Linked DNA regions of Mus musculus. The main gene of each other region encodes a partner of the protein of the gene in region 3 in a complex. Links are inferred from orthologs where the notes say so. Each region holds a gene or a part of one and is shown on either strand. Other genes may lie near its edges. The genes, in order: Sae1, Ranbp2, Sumo1, Senp2, Daxx and Pias2.

Evidence for each region.
Region 1: the proteins of Sumo1 (region 3) and Sae1 are in contact, whole or in part, in a crystal structure (PDB 3KYD), measured with the Homo sapiens proteins. The link is inferred for Mus musculus from reciprocal best matches to the Homo sapiens genes SUMO1 and SAE1. Residues at the interface, in NP_001005781.1 of Homo sapiens: Asp30, Ser31, Ser32, Glu33, Ile34, His35; in NP_005491.1 of Homo sapiens: Thr179, Lys180, Val181, Ala182, Lys183.
Region 2: the proteins of Sumo1 (region 3) and Ranbp2 are in contact, whole or in part, in a crystal structure (PDB 1Z5S), measured with the Homo sapiens proteins. The link is inferred for Mus musculus from reciprocal best matches to the Homo sapiens genes SUMO1 and RANBP2. Residues at the interface, in NP_001005781.1 of Homo sapiens: Asp30, Ser31, Ser32, Glu33, Ile34, His35, Phe36, Lys37, Val38, Lys39, Thr41, Thr42, His43, Lys46, Leu47, Ser50, Arg54; in NP_006258.3 of Homo sapiens: Asp2631, Val2632, Leu2633, Ile2634, Val2635, Tyr2636, Glu2637, Leu2638, Pro2654, Thr2656, Cys2659.
Region 4: the proteins of Sumo1 (region 3) and Senp2 are in contact, whole or in part, in a crystal structure (PDB 1TGZ), measured with the Homo sapiens proteins. The link is inferred for Mus musculus from reciprocal best matches to the Homo sapiens genes SUMO1 and SENP2. Residues at the interface, in NP_001005781.1 of Homo sapiens: Asn60, Arg63, Leu65, Glu67, Gly68, Gln69, Arg70, Ala72, His75, Glu89, Tyr91, Gln92, Glu93, Gln94, Thr95, Gly96, Gly97; in NP_067640.2 of Homo sapiens: Asp386, Lys394, Leu395, Arg396, Trp410, Leu411, Asn412, Asp413, Glu414, Thr440, Phe441, Pro444, Lys445, Arg456, Trp457, His474, Val477, His478, Trp479, Met497, Gln542, Gly545, Ser546, Asp547, Cys548, Gly549.
Region 5: the proteins of Sumo1 (region 3) and Daxx are in contact, whole or in part, in an NMR structure (PDB 2KQS), measured with the Homo sapiens proteins. The link is inferred for Mus musculus from reciprocal best matches to the Homo sapiens genes SUMO1 and DAXX. Residues at the interface, in NP_001005781.1 of Homo sapiens: Lys17, Glu18, Tyr21, Ser32, Ile34, Phe36, Lys37, Val38, Lys39, Thr41, Thr42, His43, Lys46, Leu47, Ser50, Tyr51, Arg54, Gln55; in NP_001135441.1 of Homo sapiens: Glu731, Glu732, Ile733, Ile734, Val735, Leu736, Asp738, Ser739, Asp740.
Region 6: the proteins of Sumo1 (region 3) and Pias2 are in contact, whole or in part, in an NMR structure (PDB 2ASQ), measured with the Homo sapiens proteins. The link is inferred for Mus musculus from reciprocal best matches to the Homo sapiens genes SUMO1 and PIAS2. Residues at the interface, in NP_001005781.1 of Homo sapiens: Tyr21, Lys23, Val26, Glu33, Ile34, His35, Phe36, Lys37, Val38, Lys39, Thr42, Lys46, Leu47, Ser50, Tyr51, Gln53, Arg54; in NP_004662.2 of Homo sapiens: Lys466, Val467, Asp468, Val469, Ile470, Asp471, Leu472, Thr473, Ile474, Glu475, Asp479.

The regions. Positions count from the first base shown.
Region 1 is NC_000073.6:16,377,897-16,381,396, reverse strand, and holds part of Sae1 (SUMO-activating enzyme subunit 1), read left to right. Parts: intron 1-2,920; coding exon 2,921-3,032; intron 3,033-3,500. UniProt on the Homo sapiens protein: The heterodimer acts as an E1 ligase for SUMO1, SUMO2, SUMO3, and probably SUMO4. It mediates ATP-dependent activation of SUMO proteins followed by formation of a thioester bond between a SUMO protein and a conserved active site cysteine residue on UBA2/SAE2.
Region 2 is NC_000076.6:58,474,352-58,477,851, reverse strand, and holds part of Ranbp2 (E3 SUMO-protein ligase RanBP2), read right to left. Parts: intron 2,609-3,500; coding exon 2,514-2,608; intron 1,696-2,513; coding exon 1-1,695. UniProt on the Homo sapiens protein: E3 SUMO-protein ligase which facilitates SUMO1 and SUMO2 conjugation by UBE2I. Involved in transport factor (Ran-GTP, karyopherin)-mediated protein import via the F-G repeat-containing domain which acts as a docking site for substrates.
Region 3 is NC_000067.6:59,639,835-59,643,334, forward strand, and holds part of Sumo1 (small ubiquitin-related modifier 1), read right to left. Parts: intron 2,656-3,500; coding exon 2,584-2,655; intron 435-2,583; coding exon 366-434; 3' UTR 1-365. UniProt on the Homo sapiens protein: Ubiquitin-like protein that can be covalently attached to proteins as a monomer or a lysine-linked polymer.
Region 4 is NC_000082.6:22,008,025-22,012,283, reverse strand, and holds the start of Senp2 (sentrin-specific protease 2), read right to left. Parts: upstream 2,801-4,259; 5' UTR 2,643-2,800; coding exon 2,542-2,642; intron 2,520-2,541; exon of another isoform or gene 2,394-2,519; coding exon of another isoform or gene 2,320-2,393; intron 791-2,319; coding exon 732-790; exon of another isoform or gene 684-731; coding exon of another isoform or gene 665-683; intron 1-664. UniProt on the Homo sapiens protein: Protease that catalyzes two essential functions in the SUMO pathway.
Region 5 is NC_000083.6:33,908,029-33,912,244, forward strand, and holds the start of Daxx (death domain-associated protein 6), read left to right. Parts: upstream 1-1,416; 5' UTR 1,417-1,570; exon of another isoform or gene 1,571-1,826; intron 1,827-2,402; 5' UTR 2,403-2,418; coding exon 2,419-2,643; intron 2,644-3,209; coding exon 3,210-4,041; intron 4,042-4,129; coding exon 4,130-4,216. UniProt on the Homo sapiens protein: Transcription corepressor known to repress transcriptional potential of several sumoylated transcription factors. Down-regulates basal and activated transcription.
Region 6 is NC_000084.6:77,063,731-77,068,007, reverse strand, and holds the start of Pias2 (E3 SUMO-protein ligase PIAS2), read right to left. Parts: upstream 2,801-4,277; 5' UTR 2,613-2,800; coding exon 2,589-2,612; intron 2,536-2,588; exon of another isoform or gene 2,104-2,535; coding exon of another isoform or gene 2,101-2,103; intron 1-2,100. UniProt on the Homo sapiens protein: Functions as an E3-type small ubiquitin-like modifier (SUMO) ligase, stabilizing the interaction between UBE2I and the substrate, and as a SUMO-tethering factor.

The DNA.
Region 1 (3,500 bases), on a different chromosome or scaffold from region 3:
ACGGTGACTATTAACCTCCTCAGGCTCTGAAGAAATGGCTTTGGGGTGCGGGACTTGGAATGGGCCAGAGAGGAAGTGTGTTTACAGGCTGTGGAATGTTGTGATTGTCAAGTCTTGGTGAGTAGTAGTCTGATAATAGGTGGTCAGGCTAGTAAGGTAGTACAGACAAGTCCTGAACAACTCAGGATGAGCTGTAGATTTTATCAGCTGGGAATGTAGCGCAGGGGCTTGCCTTTCTTGCATACATGAAGCCCTGGGTTTGATCCTAGTATCAAATACATTAGGCAAGAAGGTACATACTGGAGGTAGAGGCAGGAGGGTCAAAGTTCAAGGCTATTCTCTGCTACATAGTTTTAGGGCCACCTTTGTATGTATGAGACCAAGTCTCAAACAATTCTTTTTGGGAGTAGGTGCTGAAAAAATCCAGATTCAAGTGTATGAATAGCTAGGCTTTTTATAATGAAGGTGGTAGAGTTTAAGAGAAGTTGACTAAGTCTATCTTAACACCCATGTCCAGTTTCTTACATGCCAGGTATTACTTCAGAGTATAGACAATGCTTTTGTTTGTGGTCCTGACAGGCTTGGAACTCAGTTCAAAGATGAAGGTGGCTTCAATTTTGCAGTAATCCTCCTGCATTTATCTGCCTTGTTTGTTTGGTTTTTGGTTTTTTGAAACAGGGTTTCTCTGTATAGCCCTGGCTATCCTGGAACTCACTCTGTAGACCAGGCTGGCCTCGAACTCAGAAATCCACCTGCCTCTGCCTCCCCAGTGCTGGGATTAAAGGCATGTGCCATCACTTCCTGGCGTTTTTTTGTTTTGTTTTGTTTGTTTGTTTGTTTTGGTTGTTCAAGACAGGGTTTCTCTAGTAGTCCTAGCTGTCCTGGAACTTACTCTGTAGTTCAGGTTGGCCTCCAGAGATCCGTCACCTGCCTCTGCCTCTTTAGTGCTGGGATTAAAGATGTGTACTATTGCTACCACCTTGCTTAAATATTACCTTTTAAATTATTTCTTTTGAGAGTATTAATTTCTACTACATAGCCATAAAGTTGGCTTTCATATGAACTAGTGTGGTGTGTGTAATCATGCCCTGCTGAGGTTTCTTTTTTTCCCTCCCTCCTTTAGAAAGGGTCTCATCGCCCAGGCTGACCTCAAGCAGAGTGACCTTGAGCTTCTGATCCATTGCTTGGCCTTATAGGACGCCACCATGTCCAGGTGGCCTCAAATTTCCCATCCTTCTTCCTTAGAATTTTAGATATGCACCCCAGACCCTGACGGCCATTGGGCTTACTACAGACTAAGTAAGCACTCACTGATCGTTGGAGAAGAGCCCCTGGTGTTCTCTGGGTGCTTTGTTTGATTTTTGTCTTATTTTTATTTATAGAGATCAACACAATTCCCCTGCCTGTTTTTGTTGTGCTGGGGTTGGTCTCAAGCTTACTAAGTCGTGGAGCAGACTCTGAACCTACCTACCCTTTATCCTGTCCTCACCTCTCCAGTGCTGCGGTCACAAGTGTGCACACCACCTCTCGCACACACCTTCTTATGCTTCCATGGGTTTTGCTTGTGTGCTCCAGATTAAATCATGGCTCTTCTTGCCAAGCTGGGGTTCTACTTAAAGCACTTGCCTGCTGTGGCTGGAGCCCCTGAGTTCAGTCCCCAATACCATAATAAATACACTTGTCCTCTTTGGTTATTATACTAGTCTGAGTGGCTGTGCACACATAACCACTCCAGACTTCTCTTACCTGTGGCGTCATCTTCTCATCCCATGGCTTCTAGTGCCCCCCAGAGCCCTCGTGCTGTGCTCCCCCCACCCCATTTTCATACTTCACATTTGTCCTTTCTATACCACTTCGCGGCCTCTTTGTTTTTGCTGTCTCTGAAAACAGTCAAGCCAGGCATTCTCCTTTCCCTTTTCTTTCTTCTTTCTTTCTTTCTTTCTTTCTTTCTTTCTTTCTTTCTTTCTTTTTTTGGGGGGGGGGGGGCTTCGAGACAGGGTTTCTCTGTGTAGCCCTGGCTGTCCTGGAACTCACTCTGTAGACCAGGCTGACCTTGAACTCAGAAATCCGCCTGCCTCTGCCTCCCAAGTGCTGGGCTTTTTTCTTTTTCTTTTTTTCTGAAACATGTTTTTTTGTGTAACAACCCAGGGTGTCCTGGAACTTGCTTTGTAGACCAGGCTGTCCTCTAACTCACAGAGATCGGTCTGCCTCTGCCTCCCAAGTGCTGGGACTAAAGGTGTGTTCCACCCCACCTAGCTTCAAGTATCCCCTTTTGAGCTTGTGTGTTTTCTATAGTTGGAATACTTTCTTTTCAGTTATCTGTATGTTGATCGGTTGTTTATTTTATTTTGATGAAAAATCACCTTCTCTGGGTTTCTTGTTGTGGAGACAAGGTTTTTGTAATCCAGTCTGGATGTGAACTTCCTGAGATCTCTCTCGCCTCAGCTTCCCAGCCATTCAGGTGACAGATACACTCCTTCAGAACGGTTTTCATCATTATGTAACACTTGTTCTTTAAAATTGCATCTTCCCTTGTCCTCTTTTTATTCGTTTATTTTGTGGTTCTGGAGAGCCATGCAGGACCTCATCCATGCACGGCAAGTGTCCTACTGACGGAGCTCTGTCCCCTGCCCCGTCCCCTGACAGAGCTCTGTCCCCCTGCCCCATCATCTGGCCTTATGCTTGAAGAGCTGCTTTCTCCACTGCGCTGCTCATTGTGGAGAGGGCATACACAACGTGCTCAGTAAAGAAGTCATTTTCTGTGCACAGTTGTTTGGGGCCAATTTTCTAGATCTGAAGGTTCAGTGGTGTTTCTGTGGTGCATATAGTGAAAATTAAGTTTTCTTTTTTTTTCCTGTCCTGTGATTGAACAAGTCCCACTACTTGGGGTCATCAGATTAACATAGCATGTGCTTCACAGGCTTCGAGCTTCCCGGGTGCTGATTGTTGGCATGAAAGGACTTGGAGCTGAAATTGCCAAGAATCTTATCCTGGCAGGAGTCAAAGGGCTCACCATGCTGGACCACGAACAGGTATGTGCCATCTGATTGCCCTGTATCTCTCAAAAGGCCGTGCTGCCAGTGCTGCTGGGCAAATCCAGGTTCAGTGCCACTGTAGGGAAACTGAGGCCTGGGAGGAGGTTTACGTGAATATATAGTCTTCAACCCCTGAGCCGCTGATTCAGGCCTGGAATGATTCGGGAATGGGAACATATAGAACATGGCTCAGTTCAGTGTGATGGCACATACCTATAATCCCAACACTCAGGAGATTGAGGCAGAACTATAAATTCAAGAGTAGCTTTTGCTATATAATGAAGGTCCTAAAAAAAGTCACAGTGGGACTGGAGAGATGGCTCATCAGTTAAGTGTACTGACTGCTCTTCCAGAGTTCACATCTCTACATACTCACATGGCAGCTTACCACTGTCCATAACTCTAAGATCTGACATTCTCACATAGACATACATGCAGGCAAAACACCAGTACACACAAAATAAA
Region 2 (3,500 bases), on a different chromosome or scaffold from region 3:
AGATCTGAAATCACTGTCAACAGACTTAGGAAGATCTCCCTGACCAAATTTGAAAGAAGTTTGAACAAACGAAGACGCAGACTTTGTGTTCTGACATGCAATGCACCTAGAGACGGTGGGTTCATTTCTTACTAAACAAACACTGCAGTCCCAATGGCCTTCTTTATTTGCAGTCATTGTTGCAAATCGATCTTGAGCATTTTCCAGGCCAGTTTTAGGAGCAAAGCCATTTTCAACTAATGGAGGACCTAGGAGCTCTTTGTTACTGGTTGGGTTTGTATTCTGGCATGATACACATTTCTTAGCAGTTGCAGCATTCTTAAAGGAGCAGCTGTTACAATTCCAGTAAGGCCCTTCCTTCTTTACAATCTGGAATTCAAAATTCAAGTTTCCACCATCAGCTTTGCAAATATCCTTGTTATCCTGAGTTGCAGACTCCTTTACAATTCTAAGAGTATGATTTGGTGCTGTAGATGTGTTTGTTCCTAAGGCTTTTAAAATGTTCTGGGCCTCTTCAAATTTACACTTAAATAGTGCTGCTTCCTCAGGAGTTTTGAATCTAATTGCAAGCTGTTCTGGTTTTGGCAATTCATCTGCATAATCAAGGGCATGCCATACAAAAGATCTATCTGAGCCAGCATTTGGCGTCAGTTTCATATCTGGGCTTATGTAATGATTTGCACAGATCTTTAATACTTGCTCTCGTCTCATCAGAAGGCGAATTTTACCAGATGTTTTATGCCTTAGTATTTTTACATTGCCTATCCCACGTTCCTTCCATTCTTTGGATTCACCATCAAAACGGAACAACTTTGCACGATTGCAAAAGAATTCTTCTTCATCTTCCTCGCCAGTTTTTACTTCTATCTTGTCAGGAAGAGGTACCACAGGCTCAAAGTGAGGGCCATCATCCTCCTCATCCCCATGAGCACTTCCTCCATCTGTCTCATGACTTTTATTTGCCAGCTCGGAAGCAGCTGTTGTAAATACAGACTTCCCTGGACCGTGAAAAGCAAACATGTCATCACTGCGATGAAAACCAAAATTCTTCTGCTGATTTGGGCCCATGTTTTCTGTAAGTGTATTTTTGCTTCCAAAACTGAATGTATTCCGAGACCCACTAGCTTGGCCAGATATTGGCTTTAGTCCACTATAGCCATCTCCTTGTAAAGGCTTATCTGAAGTCAGAAGACCTAGAAGACTTTCACTATTGCTATAAGCTGTTGAAGGAGGCTGGGCCACTACCTGTGGTGATGAAAATGTGAAGTCGCCATCATTTGATTTGAAATTTGAGTTAAATTTAAAGGGAGTTGGCTGTGTTGTATGTGCTGGTGTTGTCAAGGGTGGCCTTATTACTTCACCCTGCATGGGCTGAACGAAATTGGATTTTCCAAATTCTATAACCTTTGATTCTGCTGACCTTGAAGCGTGAGCTACAAGTGGAGGCTTTGTGAAATACCCTGGTTCTGGCAAAGGTGGATTTGTGCTTGTCTGTTGAACATTGTAATTAAAATAATCATCACCCCTAGGTGATAGAATTCCTGTTGCAGGAGACTCAAAACGCAAGGGAGGACCATACATCTCCTGAGAGAACATACAAGCAGATGAACTTTGCACTGGTGGTGTGTGCATCTGTTGTGAATATGCATAAATATGTTGTTGGGGTGGAAGCCTATTCATGCCATAAACTGGACCCTAAAAGGGAAAAAAAATACTTTCTTGATTATTCATAAAACTATAAAAATCTACAAACAAATCAACTCTCACAAACCTCAAATTAGAGTATCATTCAGCAGAAAACACCAATGTACACAGCACATTAACAGATACCAATGGTGCCACAAAGACACCTGAATATATATTTGATAAGACAGCACCTTAAAAATCTGTACTGACAATGACTAGAAAAAAATAATTCTTCATTCACTAAACAATTACTAAATGATGTTAACAGTGATGATTATTACTAACATTCATTAAGCATTTATTAATGTATCAACTAGGCACAGTTCTAACCATTTTAACTTACTTTAGAAGTTAAAGGTTTTTAGCCTCAAAAACTCTATTAACTATAGTATTATTCTCATTTAAAACCAGGTGGCCTAAGAGGTACACAGGTTAAAAAACATTGCCCAAGTTCACAATAAGCAGAACCGGGATCTAAATGTACCAACGCACCCAGATCTCCATCCTGGAAGTCATAGTTTTTAGTTACTGTCATAATATCCAGTTTGAGTCAAAAGGATGACAATAAATCAGCCTAGCAAAACAAAAATAGCCTTACTCCTATCAAAATAGAATAATAACACAAGGGCCAAAACCATCCAATCCTCCTATTTAAAATATTCCAAATGTTTCGACTTATTGTTAACACACAAAAAAAGATGACTATGAAATGCCTATATCAAAGGTCACATATCTTCCAATACTGAACTACTTGTTTCAATTTCTTTAAAAGAAGCCTAAACATTTAAAACGTAAACAGTTCTAATTGTGTGCTTTTCCTTTGTTACCTTGGTGGGAGTTACATTAGCAGCTGGTCTGAGAAGATACTGGGAGTTATATGCAGGTGACTGACTATAATATACTGATGGGCCAGTAGTTGCAACTAAAGTGAAAGAAACAAAAACAAGAAAACAATGTTAAAAGTCTATTCTATAGTTTAAAATACTACCTAGACAAGAATTATAAATATACAATAAGAATCAAAGGAAGTTTTAATTATTCTGATCTTTACATTTCTACATACTCAAGTATACCATAAAGCAATTAATAAATGAAGAACTAAAAAAAAAAAAACCAGTTAAATGACACAAAGAATAAAAAATAACACTACTATTGTCAACAGGAACAAGTACTTAACAAGCATGCCAGAGTAAGGCATAATGGCACATGCCATTTGATCTCCCACACTCAAAGGGACAGGTAGATTTCTGTAAGTTTCAGCTAACGAACGCTACATAGTGAGAGAGCTCTAAAAAGAAAACAAAGAAAGTAAATGGTCCAAGATCAGCAGAATGTAAAAGCACAGAACGGCTCCACGTTAGGAAAAAAGTTATCACAAAGAATTTAGTAACCAAAATGCACCTGATGGCCTAAACATTTAAAAGAGGACTTGAAACTCTAGAGAATGACAGGGTTGCAGAATATGATCTCAAATAATTACTCAGATTTATGCTTAAAATAACCTGGTACAATTATAAAAAGGGTCTCACAATAAGCATAAAGCCAACTACATGGCTCAGCAGGTAAAGATGGTTACCACATAAACATAGCAATATGCCTTTCATTTCTAGAACACATGTAAAGGTAGGTTGTCTTCTGATCTCTGCATATGCTGTGGAGATATATATATATACACACATATACATATATATATATATACACACACACACATACATACATACATTCCACAGCCACGTGTATGTATGTATGTATGTATGTATGTATGTATGTATGTATGTGTATATATATATATACACACACACACACACACACAC
Region 3 (3,500 bases):
AGGAGTGAAGCAACCACATGCTGGAACTTCAGAGCCAATTGAAAGGTCATAGGAAAGCTCCCATTGGTCGATCTTTTTATCATCACAAACCTGAAAATGCACAGTCCTGAAAAGGGTGGCCTCTCTGTGCACACATGAAATCTCTTAAAGGAAAAAGGGCAGTATTAAGGGAGCTGAGGTCTGATCACCAAAAATCAGCACAACAAAAACAACCAATAATGAATATTGAACACTAGAATTCATATGTTCTAAGAGATGGAGTGCCAGTATTCAATTTTCATTTTGAACACCACATTACAAAAGAACTATTTTTAAAAATAAAAAAGGATTGAGGGAAAGGAAAAATAAAAAATAAAAAGAATTATCTAAACCGTCGAGTGACCCCCCGTTTGTTCCTGATAAACTTCAATCACATCTTCTTCCTCCATTCCCAGCTGGAAGAAAAGAAAAATGCATTATTTTTATATTGGCTGCAATTAGTGGCCACTATTTTAAGGTACAAGAAGAAACATGTCATCTATAATTAATAAGCCTCTAAAGTTGAAAAGTGTTGCTCTGTAATGCTAACACCTAGGCAGTTAAGTAAGAGAATAAGGAATTCAAGGCCATCTTCAGTTAGTTCCAAACCAGCCTTGGCTAAATGAGATTGTCTCAAAAAACTGGAGAAAGACTGGTGGTGTGTGGCTTAATCCCAGTGCTCAAAAGCCAAAGGCAGGCAGATAGATTTCTGTGAGTTTGAGGCACCCTGTTTACATTGTGAGTTTCAGAACAGCCCAGGATACATAGTGAGACCCCCGTCTCAAAAAAACTTAAGAGAAACAACAACAAACAAATCCAAGCAAACAAAAAATAGGATTTGCACAGCATGTACAAGGTCAAGAGATTGATCTAGCACAGACTAGAGGGGAAGGAAATGGGGGAGGAAGGAGGGGTAGGGAGAGGAGAGGGAAGGGAAGAATGGGAGGGAAGAGAGGGGAAGGGGAAGGAGGGGGAGAAAGAAAAGAGAAGGGGAAATGAGGAGAGGGAAAAGGAAAAGGGGAGTAAAAGAGGGGGAAATAGGGGAGGAAAGGGAGGGAAAGAGGGAAAAGGGAGATTTAAGTTTAATAGTTCAATGGCATATTTTCTAAAACACATTTTTAGATGTAACTAATACTCTCATTTAATAGAAATAAAAATTAAAAACAAGGATTTTAGTTGGATAAATGCTGCCCTGAGGATCCATTCCTAAGTGGTTTATTTTGTCATCTATAATTCCCTCTGGCATCTAATTTGTGGTTTGTTATTTTTTATCTTGAGAAGGGTTTCTCGGGCCCGGCAGTGGTGGCGCACGCCTTTAATCCTGGCACTTGGGAGGCAGAGGCAGGTGGATTTCTTGAGTTCCAGGCCAGCCTGGTCTACAGAGTGAGTTCCAGGATAGCTGGGGCTATCCAGAGAAACCCTGTCTCGAAAAAACAAAAACCAACCCACCCACCCCCCAAAAAAGAGAGGGGGGTTCTCTATGTAACCCTTGCTTTTTTAGAACTCATTCTGTAGCCTCAAATTTACAGAGAGATTTACCTGCCTCTGGAATGCTGGAATTAAAGGCATGTGTCCAGCTTCCTAATTTGTGTTTTAATAGTGACCTTCTAACACAGAAGATGTATCTAGTTATCTGCTGTTGTTTAATAGTTCCAGTTTAAACAAAGGGAAGGGGAGAAAGGGGGACATTAAAACATAAAACATGAAGTCATTAATGCTTAATCCTAAATGGTCTGGGAAGAAGCAAGAGGAACACAGGCACACCAACACAGAGATTAAACAAAGAAATTAGGTAAAGAACATTTTCTTTTTTTTTTTAAATTCTGTACTTGTAACTTCTCTGGAAGCTAAAAAATATTTCAAAATAAAATCTTTTTAAAATGTGAAGAAAAGTCAAGAACAAGTCAGGTACCAAGTTGAAGGGACTCAAAATGGCCAATATCTGAAGGATAGCCACACATATTCTGGGTAACCCTGGCTGTCGTGGAACTCATTCTGTACACTAGGATGGCCTCCAACTCAAGACATTAGCCTACCTTTGCCTCCAGAGTACTGGGATTAAAAGTGAGTACCACCACTACCACCTAGACAGCCACCCATTTTCAAGAACTCTTTCCAGGTCATTGGTTAATTCAAATGGAAAGAGTAACTGTGGTGGCATCATGACCCTTATGGACCCCATGTGTGCATTCAGATGCTCATACACATTAATAAATTATTTAAATATAAATTCTAAAAACTGTTTTGTTTTGTTTTTTAACCTCTTTTCTGGTGCTAGAGATCAAACTCTGGAGATATACATACTAAGCACACGCTTTACCCCTGAGCTATAAACCCGACCAGTTTTATCCAAAATCTTATTTCAAACTTTTTCTTTTTCTTTATTTTTATTTATATGAGTACACTGTAGCTGTCTTCAGACACACACCCAGGAGAGTGCATCAGACTCCATTATATATGGTTATAAGCCACCATGTGGTTGCTGGGAATTGAACCTCCAGAAGAGCAGTCAGTGCTCTTAACTGCTGAACCATCTCTCCAGCCCTCAAACTTTTTCATACTTACTTCTTTCGGAGTATGATTATCAGCAATTCTCTGACCTTCAAAGAGAAACCTGAGTGAATTCATTGGAACTCCCTAAAAAAAGGAAAAAGAAAGTTTGTATAAAAATCTTAGGTTATTAGTAACTATGATAAAACCATAAAAGAAAAAGAAACAGCAGGAAACATGAAAGGCTTTAGGAAATCTCATGTTCCAAGTGCTACTTTATAGACAGTCATGATGTTCTTTGCAGAGATACTGAAGGTTGGTTATCTCCACATCTTCATTTTACAACTAGGGAACGTGAGGCCTGAAGATAAGCTAAGAATTTCAGCTCAAAATAATTGATAAGCCTATTTTCTCAACCACCTCTGTGTTCATTTTCTCCTTATGTCTGAGCTAGCATAAAAGAAAATAAGGACCTGAATATGCTTTCTAGCTTCTAACTATACAAGCAAAACTGGTTTTAAACATTAAATTCAAAGAATTTGGTAATGCAAAAGAGATAGCTAGTTAAGGCACAGTAATATGTGTGTATGCACACACACATACCAGGTTAAGTCTAAATGCTACCAAAGATGTTTATATTTGTTAACCATTTTAATATGACAGCTAAAGGGGAGATGATTCTTTAAAAGAAAGTAACTTTACAAGGAAGTATGAATCAAGAATGATCTATTTAAGGGCTAAAGAAATAGCTCAGTGGTTAAGAGGATTGGCTGTTCTTTCAGAGGACTCAGGTTCAATTCCCAGCACTCACATGGCAGCTATCTTAATCCCAGTCCTGAGGGAAATCCAATGCCTACTTCCAGCATCTGAGGGCATTATGGACATAATGCACAGACATACAGGCAGGTAAAACACCATGAGTAAAATCTAATTAAAACAACAACAACAATAAAACTAAAACTTTTATCTGTGGGGTTTAAACACTGTACCTG
Region 4 (4,259 bases), on a different chromosome or scaffold from region 3:
AAACAGGCTTTGAACTTGTAACTCACCTGCATCAAAATCCTCAGTAGTTAAGCCACAGGCTGTTAGCCAGGCCCTGGGTATCACCAGCTGGTTTTGTCATGTCGTTTTATGTATCTTACTACATTCACATACAAACCATTATTTATTCATATTTATTTTTTAAAAATAGCTTGTTTTTTCCTTAGATAATTAAAAGATACTTGTAGAAAGGCCTAGTATTTTTTATTTTCTGTAATTGTGTAAAATCAAGACATAGTCAATAAGTATTTATTGGATTTAAATGAAATATCAACAAGTTTCCATAGTTAACCATCACATCTGGTATAGACCCAAATCCATGACTGCTGTTGAAATAAGGGACATACTATAGTATTCTACTATTCCTTGCTCTTTAATCTACTTTTATTCTTGTCTACCAGTCACATACAAGAAAGTAGATTTGTGATGACAAAGCATATGGGTTCACTCAGCCAGATGAATCAGATCAATCAGTTTGAACTGGCTTCCTCCTCAGGGGAAAAAAAAAATTACCTTTACTACAGAAGACCTTAGAACTATAAACACACATTCAACACACATATCTGAAAATAGTCACCTCTAGGAAAGACAATGGCATAGAGAAAGGGCAGGAAAGAGGAAACTTCTCATTGTCTGGACTTTTTACCTTTTGAGTTTTGTTCCATGCATGTATTTTTCCTACTAAAACAAATTAATTTTCAAAGATGTAGTACCTAATCTTGGCCTTTTGGCTGGGATCTCATCAGTGTCCACTGCAGTAGAAAACAGAGTGCTGCAAAGAAAGGAGAAGATGGATGTATATAGGCCATACGTGCATTTCTATAAATAAACTTACTCAGCTCTGGAGGTGTGACTCAGTTGTAGGGCATGTGTTTAGCATATAAAAGACCGTGGTCTCTTTACCTAACACCAAAACAAAAGCTCCGTACCACACAACCTTCCTTCTCTTGTGCCCCATGTAGTCGTAAAATGAGATGCAAGGTGCAAAGCAGAGTCCTATTTCTAGACCGTAGGAAAGACTCAACACTCCCTACTACATTATGATGTATAATCTGGCCAAATTAAACCAACACATCATTTGGTTTTGGGACACTGGCCCTAAAGACAGACTTTTTTTTTTTTTTTAATTTCAAGCAACAATATAAGCAGCCTTAAGAGATAAGGTAGTAGTTGGGAGTTGGCAATGGTGTTGCTTAAATGTCTCCCGACCCCTATACCCTGGGCTGGGGATTGAAGACAGGACAGGCACGACAGACAAGCACACCGCCCCTAAGGCACAGCTCTAGTTCCTAGAAAAAAGTATCTTTTAAGACACCAGCCCCCGAGCCGGGCATGGTGGCACACACCTTTAATCCCAGCACTCGGGAGGCAGAGGCAGGCCGATTTCTGAGTTCGAGGCCAGCCTGGTCTACAGAGTGAGTTCCAGGACAGCCAGGGCTGCACAGAGAAACCCTGTCTCAAAAAACAAAAGAACAAAACAAAACAAAATAACCCACGAGCCCCCGAATGTAGTAAAGAACAGAAAGCAGCTAGAAGTCAAGGCTGGCCAGGACACATCCACACTCAGGTTTGGGTCGGCATACTGCTGACTCCGAGGGACTATGAATGAAAATGTGAGGCGATCACCAGTCCCTGTTCGATAAATATGCAGTTTCATTGTGCACCAGATCCAGTTGGGGGAGAATAAACTATTCTTACATAAGCATCAGTTTGAGAACTTTATAACATCTTAACCGATTCTTATCTGAACCCCATGGAACTGTAGAAGCCATGGGACTACATGCTACAGTTTAGCGAACAACCAGTTTCACCAATGACCTACATTCCTGGAGTCATCTATGAATCATTTTGATCTACTTCCCCTAATCCAATCTTTTGTCCACTTCTCTTGACCTGGAAACAAAAATAATCACCATCATCATAATAATAAGTGAAGTAGACATAGCAGAGGAAGGAAAGGGAGGGAGAATGTAAGAGTGGGAGACAGGGGGGAGTATAGAAGTTGTAGAATATTTTGTTTTCTAGATAAACCCTTAAAAGGGAAGACACTGTAAAGTAAATAAAGGAGTAGATGCTAAGTACTAATATTTGTCATTTCCTTCTAATTTTAACCGAATCTTACAAGAGTGCGGTACGTAAATACTTTCTGCCTCTTACAAGGATGTTAAAGAACAGGACCATTCCCTTCCCCTGCAGCCCAACACACACACCCCGACAGTTGCTGTCGAACAAGACAACTGCTGTTCCTCGGTGCGAAGACAACAGCACTCGCAGTCAAACGACTACGGGCAAACTCCTAACCTAGTGACTCGCTCCTGCGCTGTCCGCCCGCGACGACACCGGGCGACAGGAGCCGTATCCGGCGAGCAGCACATCGCCGGCCTCCCGTTCCCCTTCCGCTCGCAGCTAGAGGGACGGACTCTCCCCAGGCCTCCGCGGTCCCGTAGTCGCCGGTTCCCACAGGCCCGCGGCGCCCAACGCCAGCGCGGGGGAGGGGACCCGACCGGCGCGCGGCCACCTTACCTGCTGGAGCGCCGCCTCTTGAGTAGGGCGCGGGCCCCGGGCGCGGGCCGCTCACACAAGCGAAGAATGGTGCCGAGAACCTTAGCCAGCCATCTGTACATTCCAGGCCTGAGCAGCAGCGGCGGCCGACACACCCCGAGACGCGAACCCCAGAGCTGTCGCCGCCGCCGCCGCCGCCGCCGCCGCCGTCGCCGCTGCCGCTGCCGCTGCCGCTGCCGCCTTCGCCGCTTCAGCCGTAGCCAGGATCAGGCGCGGACTTGTGACGCCATCAGAGGGCCCACAGATTTAACGTTCCCCGGGCTAGGGGAGGACTCTCTAGAAGCCGTTGACGTCACCTTCTTCCGCCCAACGGGAAAGCGGCCTCCGGAGTCTGAGCATGCGCAGTCTGGGCCTGCTCCTTGTAAGCCTAGCAACAGGAAGCGGGACGGGGAGAGCGGGCTCTTGCGCGGGTCTGACTGGCAGACCGAAGGGCGGGGCTTTCTCTTTGGCAGAGCCAGTCAGGAGTCGATCTCGGGACAAGGCCCACAGACCCAAACCACGTGTATCGATGCTGGGCCGGGAGAGCTACCCAAGCAACCCGACAGTGGAGGGTTCTGTAAAAGAATGCGCAGGGTGGAAAATAGGTCAGGTTAGTTAATGAGTATGTAAGGGTTTGCGCTTTATTTTGTATATACATTGGTCTAATACTTTACCCGGATTGCCGTCATGTTTACAGCAACCGGACACAGTGGGGAATTTTAGGAATGTCATAAAAACCAAAGGTATATAGCAATTAAACCATGTGCCTAAGAAAATGGAGCTAACCACTAGCATTTGAGCCAGTCTAACTATTAGGGCTCATTCCGCACGCATACGTGCAAGTTTACTGGGAGAGACATTTTCATAGATACTTATAAATTAGAATACAAGGTCACCTGCTTATGTGATAAATGATTGTAATGCGCAATGGAACTAGAGAAAGTTAAACCAGATGCTGGGGAGTGAGTAGGGCAGACGGACACGACTTCTTAGGAAAAGCTTCCGAGAAACAGGGACTGAATGATTCCTGTGGCCTTTTCTAATCAGCTTGTCTCTTCCCCTCAGCTGTCAGGTAGCAATCAATTCTCATTATCCTCTCTGGGAATGTATACACTTTTCTTTTCTTCTCTTCTCTTCTCTTCTCTTCTCTTCTCTTCTCTTCTCTTCTCTTCTTTCTTTCTTCCTTTTTGTTGTTTTGTTGTTGTTGTTGTTGTTGTTTTTTGAGACAGAGTTTCTCTGTATAGCCCTGACTGTCCTGGAACTCACTTTGTAGACCAGGCTGGCCTCGAACTCAGAAATCTGCCTGCCTCTGCCTCCCGAGTGCTGGGATTAAAGGAAAACCATTAGAAATAAATGTCTAAATAATATCTCCTATGGACTTAAGCATAATGTCTGGGAGTGCAGTCCCTTGAAGTATTAAAAACAGTCTCAAAGCCGGGCGGTGGTGGCACATGACTTTAATCCCAGCACTTGGGAGGCAGAGGCAGGCAGATTTCTGAGTTCAAGGGCCAGCCTGGTCTACAGACTGAGTTCCAGGACAGTCAGGGCTACACAGAGAAACCCTGTCTCAAAAAACAAAAACCCAAAAAACAAAAACAAAAACAGTCACTGCTGGGCATAGTGGCACATGCCTTTAATGCCGGCACTTGGGAGGTAGAGATAGGTGGATCTCTGTGAATTAGAGGCCAGCCTGGTCTACG
Region 5 (4,216 bases), on a different chromosome or scaffold from region 3:
CGTATGTTCACCACACACAAGCCTATTGGATTTCCTGGAACTGGGATTACAGTTGGTTGTGAGCAACAAGTGCTCTTAAAGGCTTTCACAGGCACTTGCACTCATGTTGTGTAGAGACTTACACTGGCACACGCGTAAAAGGGAATATAAATAATTGTGAAAAGATGGGGGAACCTTTATTTCAGGGAAACCCATTTTGAGAAACCCAAGGATAAGAAAATTAAATCATCTCTTAAGAGTCCGGTCAGCCATTGGAGAGCTACCCCACCCCACCCCACCCCGCTCCTATTGAAATGCTGTAAGCCCAGAAGGCCGGACACAATGAGAGGAGGTGGGTTTAAAATTGAAGTTCGGGTCCTCTGAGAGCAGCTGGGCTTCTTTCTTGGTCCTGCAAATTGGCAAGATGCCCACCACCGTGGAAGGAAGGCTGCAGAGCCGAAGTCTCCGCGCAGAGTGTTGACGTTCAGGCTTCCTCATCAACACCTGCGGACCTTGCCTCCCCACCCTGGGCCGGGCGGGCATCACAGTGGTTTCCCCCTCTTCCTTTTCTCCGCGGCTCTGCGGGAGAAGAAGACACCCCGCGGGATTTCATGAGCCTCTTTTCCTAGAGCTCCCAGCGGCAGCTTGCACGGCTTCTCCCCAAGCCCGCGCCAGGTTATCCCGCGCTCCGCCTCCCGCCCTGCAAACCCAGGCAGTGAAGCACTGCCTTCTGTACCGGTCAAGACGACTCCGGGACAAACAGGGGGCCCACGGTTCGCACCAGGGGGCTCGGTCATAACGACAGTGGTGCAGTCTGAGATGCGTGTCGCCGACGACAATAAAAACAATAGCTCACTCCAGCATCATGCTGTGCTCATTTGTATGCGTGTGTTCGTGTGTGTGTGCACCTGGCCCAGGAGGCCCGGCTGGACAGCCTCGAGGTGCACGCCTCCTCTCGAAGGAAGGGAAGGGCCAGCGTAGGCAGCCAGGCGGTGGAACTCCAGGGGCCGGAGGGAGAGCAGAGAAGGCGGTGCAAGGCTTACACCAACCCAGGGCAGGAAAAGCATATCTTTTATTTCGTTCCCTGGAGCCCTGCACAGCCATAGAGACATCAGCTCCTTAGCTACCTGCAGGAGATTCCTTACCCTCCTAGGGTGGAGGGACCGGTCTTACCCGATGCGACTCCACGCGATGGCTTGGGGTTGTGGGGCAGGTCTGAGGCTGGAGTTTCTGATTGGCCGAGCGGCTTCGGCAAGCTCCTGGTGCAAAGAGCTCCACGCCTCGCCGCGGAGCAGGCCGGTGCCGTACGGCAACATGGCGCGCCCCATCTACCTGGTCCTCCGCCCCGCCCCGTCGAGCCTCCGCGTCCCCGGAGCGGTGGCCTCGGTGGGCGAGCCGAGCGTCACTTCCGGCTCTAAGCGGCCTGGGTCCCGTACAGCAATATGGCCGCCCTCAGGTGCTCCAGGCGGAAGCGCTAAGGCTTCCGGTCTGTTGTGGGGTCTGCGGTGGGGGTTGGGGAGAGGAAGGCGGAGGGAACTATGCGAGGATTTGTGATCCGCGCTCAGGGGATCCTCGAGAGACCGTTTCTGAGGTGGGGGCCAGGTCGTGCGCGGAGCGGGGGTGGCGGCGCAGGAGTGGCGAAGGCGACGGCTCGGCAGGGCCTGCCCGACGAGGCTCAGGGCCGAGCTGGTAGGGTACCTTGCTAGCCCTGAAGGCGAGTGTGGCGGCCTAGGGCTGAACGCCGAGAGAGGGCTCCTTGGCGGGAAGCTGAGGCCCAGACAGGAGGAATGGCGAGTGGTGGGCTCGCTGTCGGGTACCGTCGCTGAGAGTTGGCTGGGAAAACCAGGGTGCGGTGAGAGGGAGGGGACTGGAGGTGAAAAATCTCCAGCCTACAGCCCCGGTTGGAGGAAGGGGGAACACGGAGATGACTGTAGGAGCGGAGAGGACACCAGGCTCTGGGGAGGGAGTCGAAGAGTTGGAGTTAAGGAGAAGTCCGAGAGGACTGTGTTGTTTGAGGGCGAGAGCTGGGCAAACCCACTACGTGGTGTGGACAGGGTGTTGGTTCCTGTAGACAGAAAAACTCGGAGAGCAGCGTGGGACCTTGTCCTCCATTGGATTGGGAGGAAAGAGAAAACGTAGCAGCTGACAGAGTGTGGGAAAACGCAACCGAAAGACAGGAAACGCACTGGGGTGGGAGTGGCTGGAGTTGAGGGTGAGGATTTAAGGTGATCCGGAGGCTTTCCCCCAGAGCTGCTCGAAACTGAGAGTTGCAGAAGACAGGCGTTGAAGACTTGGGAAGGCTTGGGAAGGACTAAGCTATTCTGAAACCCCGACGGGGTGGGACTAAGCAGGAGGGGCTCTTTCGAGGCTCCCTTGTCCTGCCCCTTCCAGAATTCTGACCTTTCCAATACTTTCTCCCTCAGGGGAATTTGAACCCCCATGGCCACCGATGACAGCATCATTGTACTTGATGATGACGATGAAGATGAAGCTGCTGCTCAACCAGGGCCCTCCAACCTACCCCCCAATCCTGCCTCAACAGGACCTGGTCCTGGCCTGTCTCAACAGGCCACTGGTCTCTCCGAGCCCCGTGTGGATGGAGGGAGCAGTAACTCCGGTAGTAGGAAGTGCTACAAGTTGGATAATGAGAAGCTCTTTGAAGAGGTAAGCTTTTGAGATAAAAGGGTCGCCCTTTGTGGCCCATGCTGGCCTTGAACTCACAGAGCTTTTACTTGCCTCAGCCTCCTGACAGCTAGGATTAAAAATGTGAACCACTGGGCAGGAGAGATGGTTCAGCGGTTAAGAGCATTGAGCATCCAGAAGTCCTGAGTTCAATTACCACCAACCACATGATGGCGTGGCTCACAGCCGTCTGTAATAGGATCTGATGCCCTCTTCTGGTGTATCTGAAGACAGCTACAGTGTACTCATATATAGAATAAATGTTAAAAAAAAAAGCTGGGCAGTGGTGGAGCACACCTTTATTCCCAGCACTTGGGAGGCAGAGGCAGGCAGATTTCTGAGTTCGAGGACAGCCTGGTCTACAGAGTGAGTTCCAGGACAGCCAGAGCTACACAGAGAAACCCTGTCTTGAAAAACAAAAGATGTGATCCACTATGGTGTGATAGGGCCGATGCCAGGTAAAGGGGTGTGTGATTGGCTGGTTGTTCTGGCTTCCTCACCGATTCCATCTTTTTTTCCCCCCTTTTCCCTTCCCTTGAACCATGTAGTTCCTTGAACTGTGTAAGACGGAGACATCAGACCACCCTGAGGTGGTTCCGTTCCTCCACAAACTGCAGCAGCGTGCCCAGTCTGTGTTTCTGGCCTCTGCAGAGTTCTGCAACATCCTCTCCAGGGTTCTGGCTCGGTCTCGGAAGCGGCCCGCTAAGATCTATGTGTACATTAACGAGCTCTGCACTGTTCTTAAAGCTCACTCCATCAAGAAGAAGTTGAACTTAGCTCCTGCAGCCTCAACGACCAGTGAGGCGTCGGGCCCTAACCCTCCCACAGAGCCCCCCTCTGACCTTACAAACACTGAAAACACTGCCTCTGAGGCCTCAAGGACTCGCGGTTCCCGGAGGCAGATCCAGCGCCTGGAGCAGCTGCTGGCACTGTACGTAGCCGAGATTCGGCGGCTGCAGGAGAAGGAGTTGGACCTGTCAGAGCTGGATGACCCAGACTCCTCGTATTTGCAGGAGGCCCGCTTGAAGAGGAAGTTGATCCGCCTCTTCGGGCGGTTGTGTGAGTTGAAGGACTGCTCTTCTCTGACGGGGCGGGTCATAGAGCAGCGAATTCCGTACCGAGGCACCCGGTACCCAGAGGTCAACAGGCGCATTGAACGGCTCATTAACAAGCCGGGGCTGGACACCTTCCCCGATTATGGAGATGTGCTGAGAGCCGTGGAGAAGGCGGCGACCCGGCACAGCCTGGGCCTTCCCAGACAGCAGCTTCAGCTCCTGGCTCAGGATGCCTTCCGGGACGTGGGCGTCAGGTTACAGGAGCGGCGCCACCTGGATCTCATCTACAACTTTGGCTGTCACCTCACAGATGACTATAGGCCAGGTAGGACGCTCCCTTCAGGTTGGATGGAGGCATCTCTAGTCCCTTGTAGGATTGGGACTGGGTTTGCTGACCCTGTTTTCCCACACAGGCGTTGACCCCGCACTGTCTGATCCCACATTGGCTCGCCGCCTTCGGGAAAATCGAACCTTGGCCATGAACCGGCTGGATGAGGTCA
Region 6 (4,277 bases), on a different chromosome or scaffold from region 3:
AGCCTGAGCATTGGAGACCTCAAAGCCCACCCCAACAATGACACACTTCTTCCAACAAAGTCACACCTGTTCCAACAAGGCCACACATTCTAACAGTGCCATTCCCTATAGGCCAAGCATTCAAACACTTGAATCTATGGGTCATACCTATTCAAACCACACTTATAAAATGACATCTCCCTCCCCCCACCCCCACCACACCAAGCCTAAAAAGTGAAAGAACATGATTACTAAAATGAGGGGATGATCTTCATCCAAAATGGACAGTACCAGCCACATGCTGACTAATGCTACACTGATCCTCAACAGCTTAAACTACAGTACCCCAATCAGTCTACCATTTCTTCCACTGCCAAGATAACCAGAAAGCTAATGTCCATAAAATTTTTTTTATTTTATAATGTAATTAACTATCACTATGATCATCTGAATATAGTCTGTGCCAGAAACCATCATTCTGAGTGTCCTGGATATTTCTTCCCCTTCTCTTTCTTTCAGATTATAGTTTTTGGGTTTTGTTGTTTCGGTTTGGTTTGCTTGCTTGTTTGTTTTTTTGGGGGGTTGGGTTTTTTAGAGGGGCTCTGTTTTTCTTCCACTTTTATGATACAAAAGGATGGTATTTATCATTTAATTTATCCCATAAATAGAAAAATTAGGAATCCCACCTAGTTCCGAGGACACCTGAACAATGAAATCAAACATGAACTCAAGATTCTAAAATCAGATAACTAGTGTTTAAAATTTTAGCATTTCTCCTCTCAAAGGATAATATAGGTGAAAGTTTATGTGTGTTTGTTGTCTTCATAGAATTAGGAGAATACAATGTATATGTCAAGTATGTGAAGCGAGTCTGGCATGTATTCGGTGATATTAAAATGAGTATGTACCACCATCACTTTCTGCACTGTGGACTGAGATAAAGTTTTTAAAATACAAGCTAACATGGGTCTGCCCTAAGCAAAACAGAGTTTAATTCTGCTGAACTCCGCCTTCCTACCTTTCCTCTGGAAACTCGGGTTAAGTCTCTGCTGGTCACTTACTATATGACTGGGGAAACCAACAATACTATCTTTTACCAAGCACAAGGAGAGGCCAAACCAAGTTGATTTAGAGATGAGAAAATGAAGCTTGCCACAAAACAAAACAGAGACATCTGAAAGGGACTGCTTCTAAGGTCCTGCCTGGTTCCACTTCAATTTGAGTACTGATGTCCTTTCTTCCACCCTTTATGATTAAGGTCAATTCTTCCCTTAAACCAGTGACATTTCTAAAAGTCTAATACACCTAGGAGGTTTTCACCAACCAAAAAAAGCTACATCTCCTTTTGAGAGGAAATATACATCTGTTTAATGTGCAAAAGTTAAGGTAATACTGCAGGTAAAAATTTACTGTAGTGAGTGAGGCTCAGGCTATCTCAGGAGCTCCACTAAACACTTAGGATGGATACGGTTCAATTGCCCTTGTCAGTTATGCTACCTGTATAAACTGATAAGGGATACAACATGTAACCATAAAATCAATCTTTCCTGAAACAGGAGAGAAAATGGTAGGCCCTATGCGAGCTTTCACATTCACTCTTTTGTTGGCTGTCCGGCCTGCCAACATCCTTTTCCCACAAACAATAACAGTCTCACAAAGCAGAACCAGATTAAAGTAACCCAAACACCAAACGTGCCTAAGGTACCCCAACTGGCTGCAAGTTCATTTAACTTCAAATCTATATATACTTCTGTCTCCACTTTAAAACAGACAGACAGACAGACAGACAGACAGACAGACACACACACACACACACACACACACACACGCACGAGTCAGGGTTTCTATCTGTAAACATCCCACATATGTCGTCAGTAACTCGGCCTTCAATGCAGCTCACCATACCTGGCTTAGTTTGGGATAAGGTTTCTGTGAAGATTATCTAATGGAGGAAAAAAATAAATCCTTTTTTCTTATAACCTCCACCAGCCTCTCCGTTAGAGCCCGACTACAAAGGCACCAACGATAAAGTTATGACCTTGTTCTCATGCTAGCAAACAGTTGTTCCTCAAGAGCACCGACTACACACACATGACAACACGGACTCAGAAGCTTTCTTACCATGGTTACAAACCAAGTCTCTGGGTAGGAGGCCGACTACGGAAGGCGGCGTTCCCAAAAGAGCGCGCTTCTCCCCACGCCGAGGGAGACAGCACGGGGTGGGAGGAAGGGGCCTCATCTCGTGACAGACCTGCCTAGACCCCAGCGGGGGACAGGGAGCTCCCTAAACGCAACTCCTTCACGGCTCCGAAGGCGGGCGGTCACGGCGTGCCCCGGGGTCGCCACCGCAAAGGCGACCGCCGTTGGCTGTCCCGTGCCCAGCCGAATCGAGCCACCCGCCCCGCCAGGTGTGCGGCCCGCCGGGTGCCAGGGCCATCCGCCTGCCCTCGCCCGCGCGGCGCCGGACCGTACGGCTCCGCCAGCCGGCCGCACGCCCCGGCGACGACCGCGACGGCGACAGCGGCGGCGCCGCGCTGCTCCCGCCTCCCCTCCCCCCGCCCTGCGGCCTCCGCTCAGCCCCCCCCACCCCCCGCCCCCGCGACGCTCACCCTCAACTCCTCGAAATCCGCCATTTTCTCCCGCCCGCAGGCGCCTCAGCCGTCGCCGCTCCTCCACCCGCTGCCGCCAACGACACCGCCGCCGTCTCCTGCAACATCCTGCACTGGGCGCCGCTCTAGACGCCGCGGCCGCCGCCGCCGCCGCCGCCGCCGCCGCGCCGACACCTCCACCACCTCCACCGGGCCCCTCACGTGACCTGCGCGGGAGTCCCGCCCCCCGGCGCGCGCTGGCCCCGCCCCTCGCGGCGCCCCCAACCCAACGCGCGCGGTCTTCCGCCCGAGCGCGCCCCCGACCCACGCGCTTCCGGTTGGTGGCCTGTCCCTACCGAGCGCGGTCCTGCTCGCCGCTTCCTGTCTCCTCCCCTCACCCTGTTCCCCGCACCGGCAGAGCGGGCAGCTCCCGAGGCTCGTACCGGAACTGTGGCCTTCTCCCGGGACTTGGAGGACCGCCTCGGCTGAGGAAGTGACCGAGAGAAGAGAGTGGACAGGACTCACGGAAACACTCGAGAAGATTCTCTCAGTGCCATCCCCAGAGTGGCTGTGATAGGATAAGCCAAGTAAGGGTGATGTGGAAACCGTTGTTCCAAGTTAATGGTGATCGCGGATAAGAATTGTTTTGTGTTTCTGTTGTTGAGACAGGGAGGGCATCACTGTGTAACCCAGGCTTGCTTGGAACTCTTTCGTGGAGCAGTTTCGAACTTGAGATTCACCTGCTCCTTGAGTCTCTCAAGTGCTGAGAGTAAAGGTGTGTGCCACCACACCCAGTTGGCTAAGACCTTTTAATTTGTGTCTTAATTTTTCACCTTGGCTGATATTTTTCCTGACCTTGAAGGGGATGTCAACGGCCTGGACAGCAACGTTGAAAGAATTGTGGGTACGGTGAGGAGAAAAGTGAAGTAAAAGAGAGCACCCCAGAAAACTCTGATGAAAAAAGTCAGGAAATCCTGATAGCTGAAGAAAAATAAAATGAAGAGACGAGAGATAGAAGAAAGATTGCCGATATTCCCAGATTCGATGGAAGAATGAAAAAAGGAGAAATAAAACAGATACTTGGACTTGGGATGTTGAAGCAGGAGGATGAGCGATTGTTATGCAGCCGGGTGGAAGCCAGCCTAGAATAAAGTGTGAGAATGAAAAAAAACACATAATGACAGACATAATGCAGAGTCAAACTGGCTGGTCACACACAGTTCAGATTTCATTGATAAGACTGACGGAATCCGTTTAATATTGTTACTACCTAAGGCTTCTTTCCAGTTACAGTCATTCTGAGAACATTGCACTTGTATGAGTTTTAAAGTGTTGATCTGTGAGCAAAGAATTCCTATTCTATACCTCCGTCAGTTCTCCTTAGCATACAAGGATCTTTCTTCAAACATACTAATTCAAATGCCTTGATAAGGTTAGGCCATAGTCCAGTGGTAAGCTCTGGGCTAGACTCTGTTAGTTCCTGGCCTCCATTCCCAACATAGAAAAACAAACAACAAAAACAAAACTAAGCTCTAGACTGCCTCTCCTTAAACTCTTGCCCAAGAGCTAACTGAAGTACGGTATACATATAAATAATTGAACTTTAATGAGTAGAATGTGGACAGCTGACTCAAGGTTTAAAAAAAAAATACTCTTTCTTAATCACAGTGGTTGTATTGCTGTGAAGAGACACTTTGACCAAGACAACTA